Callithrix jacchus: one gene and its partner. The protein of the gene in region 1 binds, or shares a complex with, the protein of each later gene. Links are inferred from orthologs where the notes say so. Each region holds a gene or a part of one and is shown in the gene's direction. Other genes may lie near its edges.

What was found.
Region 2: STX5 (region 1) and BNIP1 share a complex: the UniProt entries of both Homo sapiens proteins name them as parts of the SNARE complex. The link is inferred for Callithrix jacchus from reciprocal best matches to the Homo sapiens genes STX5 and BNIP1.

Annotation. Positions count from the first base shown.
Region 1 is NC_133511.1:120,104,856-120,108,374, reverse strand, and holds part of STX5 (syntaxin-5), read left to right. Parts: intron 1-2,738; coding exon 2,739-2,855; intron 2,856-2,935; coding exon 2,936-2,992; intron 2,993-3,156; coding exon 3,157-3,238; intron 3,239-3,519. UniProt on the Homo sapiens protein: Mediates endoplasmic reticulum to Golgi transport.
Region 2 is NC_133503.1:65,519,782-65,523,300, forward strand, and holds part of BNIP1 (vesicle transport protein SEC20), read left to right. Parts: intron 1-1,107; coding exon 1,108-1,226; intron 1,227-3,519. UniProt on the Homo sapiens protein: As part of a SNARE complex may be involved in endoplasmic reticulum membranes fusion and be required for the maintenance of endoplasmic reticulum organization. Also plays a role in apoptosis.

The DNA of each region.
Region 1 (3,519 bases):
TGGAAAAGAAAGGGTTCCATTAACTAGGGGTGTTATTGCCTAGGCATTTAAGAGCCAGCTTACTGGATTGACAGACCTGAGTTCATATCCCAGGTCTAGCACTTATGTTGAGTCCTTGGGGAAGCTCTTGATTACTCTGAGCTTCAATTCCTTTATTAGTAAGAAGGGAATATTAACAGTACCTATCTCGTAGGGTTCTTGTGAGGGTTCATTTTTTTCTTTTAATCACTGCCATTATGGAGCAACTCTTTCAGAGCCAAGACTAACTTTATTTATGTATTTATTTTTTTTTTGAGGTGGAGTCTTGCTCTGTCACCAGGCTGGAGTGCAGTGGCCCAGTCTCGGCTCACTACAACCTCCGCCTCCTGGGTTCAAGTGATTCTTCTGCCTCAGTCTCCCAAGTAGCTGAGACCACAGGCGTGCCACCACACCTGGCTACTTTTTGTATTTTTAGTAGAGATGGAGTTTCACCATGTTGGCCAGGGTGGTCTCGATCTCTTGACCTCATGATCCGCCCGCCTCACCCTCCCAGAGTGCTGGGATTACAGGTGTGAGCCACTGCGCCCGACTGGCTAACTTTATTTTTAAATTATTTATTTATTTTTTGAAACGAAGTTTTCCTCTGTTGCCCAGGCCAGAGTGCAGTGGCACAATCTTGGCTCACTGCAACTTCCACCTCCTGACTTCAAGTGATTCTCCTGCCTCCCTAGTCACTGGGACTACAGGCACCCACCACCAATGTCTGGTTCATTTTTTAATCTTTGATAGAGATGGGGTTTTACCATGTTGGCCAGGCTGGTCTCAAACTCCTGACCTCAAGTAATCTGCCCACCTCAGCCTCCCAGAGTACTGGGATTACAGGTGTGGGCCACTGCACTCAGCTGTAATAATAACTTTTATTTTTATTTTTTTAATTTTTTAATTTTTTGAGATGGAGTTTTGCTGTTGTTACCCAGATTGGAGTGCAATGGCACGATCTCGGCTCACTGCAACCTCCGCCTCCTGGGTTCAAGCAATTCTCCTGCCTCAGCCTCCCGAGTACCTGGGACTACAGGCACACACCACCATGCCCAGCTAATTTTTATATTTTTAGTAGAGACGGGGTTTCACCTTGTTGACCAGGATGGTCTCGATCTCTTGACCTCGTGATCCACCCGCCTCAGCCTCCCAAAGTGCTGGGATTATAGGCATAAGCCACCATGCCTGGCCAACTTTTATTTTTAAATTTAATTAATTAATGTATTTATTTTGAGATGGAGTTGGCCAGGCGTGGTGGCTCATGCCTGTAATCCAAGCACTTTGGAGGCCAAGGCGGGCAGATCACCTGAGGTCGGGAGTTCAAGACCAGCCGGACCAAGATGGTGAAACCCTTTCTTTTAAAATAAATAAATAAATGAAAGAATGAATGAATGAATGAGATGGAGTTTCACTCCTGTTGCCCAGGCTGGAGTGCAGTGGCACCATCTCAGCTCATTGCAACCTCTGCCTCTTGGGTTCAAGTGATTCTCCTGCCTTACCCTCCTGAATAGCTGGGATTACAGGCACATGCCACCATGCCTGGCTAATTTTTGTATTTTCAGTAGAGACGGGGTTTCTCCATGTTGGTCAGGCTGGTCTCAAACTCCTAACCTCACGTGATCTGCCTGCCTTGGCCTCCCAAAGTGCTGGGATTACAGACATGAGCCACTGCACCGGCCAATAAAAAGTTGTTTTTTTTTTTTTTTTTTTGAGACGTAGTTTCACTCTTGTTACCCAGGCTGGAGTGCAATGGCACAATCCTGGCTCACCGCAACCTCCACCTCCTGAGTTCAGGCAATTCTCCTGCCTCAGCCTCCCGAGTAGCTGGGATTACAGGCACGCGCCACCATGCCCAGCTAATTTTTTGTATCTTTAGTAGAGACGGGGTTTCACCATGTTGACCAAGATGGTCTCAATCTCTTGACCTCGTGATCCACCCGCCTTGGCCTCCCAAAGTGCTGGGATTATACCCATGAGCCACCGCGCCCGGCACTTTTTTTTTATTTAAGACACAGTCTCGCTCTCTCACCAGGCTGGAGTGCAGTGGCACAATCTCAGCTCACTGCAACCTCCGCCTTCTGGGTTCAAGTGATTCTGCTGCCTCAGTCTCCCAAGTAGCTGAGAATACAGGTGTGCACCATCACACCCAGCTATTTTTTTGTATTTTTAGTAGAGACGGGGTTTCACTGTGTTGGCCAGGATGGTCTCGATCTCTTGACCTCATGATTTGCCCACTTTAGCCTCCCAAAGTGCTGGTATTACAGGTGTCAGCCACCAAGGAATTATGTCTATAAAAACAATTCTGTTGATGCCTCTGGAAACTACAGTGCCTTTGGCTATTCCTTTTTCCTAAGGATTGTCCAGGTGCTTTGTTGGTTATGCTCTAGACCCAAGATTTTGGCCTTTGAAAGAGTTCTGTAGCCAAGAGCATGGCCTCACAGAGTGGAGCCAGGGCAGTAGGCTGGAGGAATAAACAAGTCATTTACAAATAGATGAAGCCCTCTTTGCCTCTTTCTAGCTCTTCTCTGCAGGGACTGAGCTAGAGCATATACTAGACTTTGGAAAATTCTAGTAGGCCCATCTGGTCTGACTGTCTGGGATATTCTCACTTTAGTTAGTAACTTCCACCTTGCCCTTCCTACCAGAGATGGCCATGGGGAGAGAAGCTGACTGAGGACTCCTTGGCTAATACTTGATTTTTCCGTGGGCTCTTTTACCAGGACATCAATAGCCTCAACAAACAGATTGCTCAGCTCCAAGATTTCGTGAGGGCCAAGGGCAGCCAGAGTGGCCGGCACCTGCAGACCCATTCCAACACCATTGTGGTGTCCTTGCAGGTGGGACCTGGGGAGGAAGGGAGGGAGGGAAAGGGGAGGAATGTGGAGTCTTTGGTTGACCCTCTCTCCTTTTCTTCTAGTCGAAACTGGCTTCTATGTCCAATGACTTCAAATCGGTTTTAGAAGTGAGGACAGAGGTGAGAACAATCTGCATAGGAGGGATAAGAATATGGGGGTAAGGATCCAGGAGGGAAATGGGGAAGGGACAAGTCCTACAGGGTCATGGGCCAACAGTGGGAATCTCCTTAACATGCCTGCTTTCTAGCGGCTTCAGGTCCTTTGCATTTTTCCCCAATCCCAGAACCTGAAGCAGCAGAGGAGCCGGAGAGAGCAGTTCTCCCGGGCACCTGTGTCAGCCCTGCCCCTTGCCCCTAACCACCTGGGTAAGTCACAGGTAAAATGGGAAGCCCCAGGAGGTAAGGCTACTTACTCTGATTGTGATGGCATCTTCTTCTTTTTTTTTTTTCTTTTTAATAAAGACAGGGTTTCACCATATTGGTCAGGCTGGTATTGAACTCCTGACCTCAGGTGATTCCCCTGCCTCAGCCTCCCAAAGTGTTAGGATTACAGGCATGAGCCACCGTGCCCAGCTTGTGATGGCATCTTCTAAAGGCAGGTGTTGGGTAGGAGAGTGGAGGGTCAAGGAAATTGCTAGGCTGAACCA
Region 2 (3,519 bases), on another chromosome or scaffold:
TTTTGTTTTTCTGGGCTCTCATAATAAAATAGGTAACAATTGGCAAGGTGTAAAATCCATTGTAGGGAATCCCTTCTTGTTTTCAGCTTGGTGTTTAATTTTATTATATAAGTAATTTTTTAAAGTTTGAAAGAAATGCATACTTATTTGTAGTAAATTGATAAAATAAAGTATAAATTACAAAATGCAAATATCGAATCTTTTTTTTTTTTTTTCCTCGAGACAGTCTCTCTCTGTAGCCCAGTAGTGTAGTGTAGTGGAGTGTAGTGGCTCATCTTGGCTCACTGCAACCTAACCTCCACCTCCTAGGTTCAAGTGATTCTCCTGCCTCAGCCTCCCTAATAGCTGGGATTATAGGGTTGTGCCACTGCACCCGGCTAATTTTTTGTAGTTTTATTAGAGATGGGGTTTCACCATGTTGGCCAGGCTGGTCTTGAACTCCTGACTTCAGGTAATCCTCCCGCCTTGGCCTCCCAGAGTGCTGGGATTATAGGCATGAGCCCCAGTACCTGGCTGAAAATATGGAATCTTATTACTCATGAGCATTTTGGTATATTCTCTTCTCTCATTTTTTTCTTCTACATTTCTTAAGTCACAATTGTACCATACATATAATTTTATATCCTGCTGTTTCAGCACAAAACTTGCTCATTTAAAAAAAAAGAAAACTTTTAAAGCCTAATTCTAACAGTACATAGTATGTAGATTGTATGCTAATACTATCCCCTATGTGTGTTTGCATTCCTAGTGTTTTGGTGTTGTAAGTAATACAGCAGAGCATGTCTTAGAACATAAGGCTTCATCTGCATTTTGGATGTTTCCATTAGAGGGATGTTCAGGGATGAGATGATTGAGTCAAAGGAATGAACATTTCTAAGGCTCCTACATTGTCAAATTGCTTTACAGAAGGTAGCACCGGTTTCTGTTTCTACTAGCAGTCCATAGGAGTGTGGGTCTCAGCATATCCTTGCCAGCATTGAATGTGATCACTTAAAATATATATGCTGATTGGGTAGGCAAAAAGTGAGATATCATTTGGATATGGGGCCTTCTTGCAGGGAGACTTTTGTTGACATTCTTCCTCTTTCTCTTCCTCTGAACTTTCAGGAAAACTACCAAAGAGAGCCTGGCCCAGACATCCAGTGCCATCACTGAGAGCCTCATGGGGATCAGCAGGATGATGGCCCAGCAGGTCCAGCAGAGCGAGGAGGCCATGCAGTCTCTAGGTAAAGCTGGGCCCAGAGTAGGAAGCGTCTCCCAGAGACACTGCTCTAGCGCCCTAGCCCTGGCATCTCCACCCTGGGCTCCTCCACCACGGCCCACACGAAGTTCACTGACTTGGGGGGCTTCTTCCTCGTGAGATGACTTGACACCTTGGTCTTATCCATAGTGGGGATATGCTGCTCTTATTTCCCTTTACTAGGAGACCCCACACCCCCATCAGTGTTTCCCCAGGGCGGGCATTCCCAGGGTCTCAAGTGTAAAGCAGAGGTCCCCAGGCCCTTTCCTAGAGAAGGTGTTGGCAGAGGTGGGTGAGGGGCCTGGGAGTCTCATTTACAGCCAGGGCTCTGGGTACCCATATGGCCAGGCAAATTTGGGAATCGTTGCTCCACGGGATGTTTAGTGAATTGGCTGATGGTAAGACTGCTAGGACCTTAGTTTACAATTATACTCCCCAATGTTATTTTTCCTATGAGTTCTTTTTAAAAGATGAGAGTCAAAGGCTGCAGGAGAGATTGCTTGAGACCATCTGGTTCCCTCCAGTAGTTTTCCCAGAGTGGCTCCTCTGTGACACAGAAGAGTATCAGCCCTCTCCAGGGTCCTTCAGTATGAGACAACAGAAAAAGAGGGTTTACTCTTTGAAATGCTTTTGGAACATTGCACACATGGACAAAAGTAGAAAGCATGGTATCCTGAATCATCTGAGCCCTGAGCCCATTACCCCAGCCAGACTCGTTTCAATTCTACCCTCAGCCCATCTCCTATCTGAATTATTTTGAAGCAAATTCCAGACATTGTCCATAAATATCTCAGTACATCTCTGTAGAGGATGAGGGGCTCTGGGGAAAAAGCAGAAACAACCCCAGAACCACAATACCATTATCACCTCTAGAAATTATCTTTAATTTTGAACCACTTTTTTTCAGTGCAGCAAACAGGCAGAAGCAAAAGGAAAGCAAGCAGGTGATCCCATGGTCACTCTTTGTGTTTACAACTTACCTGAACATTTCAGCTTAGAACCAGCCAGGGGCCTTCTCTCAGCGTGTCCTGTGGGAGAGGCGTTGGAGAGAGAGGGAGCAAAGAGACAACTCAGCCTCTGAGTCCAGGGCATTTATGCTCTGGTGTGGTGAGAGGATACCCCCTCACTAACAGTGGGAAGGAGACACAAATGCTGGTGGTTTCTGGGGTGTTGAGAGGGTCCCAGTGTTCTTGGGGCCCATTTTATAGAAGTAATAGCTATTGAAAAAAAGGGAAGAATACAGTTCTCAACCCCCTCCTTATCCCTCATAAATTCAGCTTGATTTAAAAGCCTACTAGGACCATAATTGTGAAACAAAAATCTTATTAGGAATATGGTATCTGGAATTTGCTGCACAGTTGTAGGAGTAGGGGAGATGGGGTAAGGGGGAACAGGATTTCAGAGGTTGGTGGTTCTTGGTTATGGGTGGTAGACATATGACATTTCATGATACTATGCTGTCTGCTTTGTGATGGTTCAAAATTCTCCATAATGGTAAAGTTTATAAAGAAAGACCTGTTAGGTTTTTACTTAGCAAGTTCTTAGGGTTTTGAAATGGCAGCAGGCAGGCGTGGAGAAAGAGTGGAGAGGGATTCCCGTTCTGTGAGTGTTTGCTTTTCTCCTTTTATCTGTCATTTTCAAAATGCTGCTGTGTTTCCTCTGATAATTTATCTTATTTACTTATTAGCTTTTAATTTGTTAAAAGGTAACACATACAACATAGAGAAGGATAAAAAACTCTAGCCCAGCACTGCCAGTAGAAACATAACAGGAGCCACATATGTTAACTTTAAATTTTCTAGTAGGCACATTTTAAAAAGTAAAAAGAAACATAAAACATTAATTTTAATAAGATAGTTTATTTAGCTCATTATGTAAACTATTACAGTTTCAATGTACAACTAATATTAAAAATTATTGAGATATTTTACCTTCCTTTTTTTCCATATTAAGTCTTTGAAACATTGTGTGGATTTTGGCCAGGCAAGGTGGCTCACGCCTGTAATCCCAGCACTTTGGGAGGCCAAGGTGGGTGGCTCACTTGAGGTCAGGAGTTTGAGACCAGCCTGGCCAACATGGTGAAACCCTGTCTGTACTAAAAATACAAAAAAAAAAAAAAAAAAAAAAAAATTAGCCAGGCATGATGGCACGTGCCTGTAATCCTTACTCAGGAGGCTGAGGCAGGAGAATCGTTTGAACCCAGGAGGTGGAGATTGCAATGAGCCAAGATCACACCACTGCACTCCACCCTGGGTGACAGAGTGAGACTCTGTTCCAAA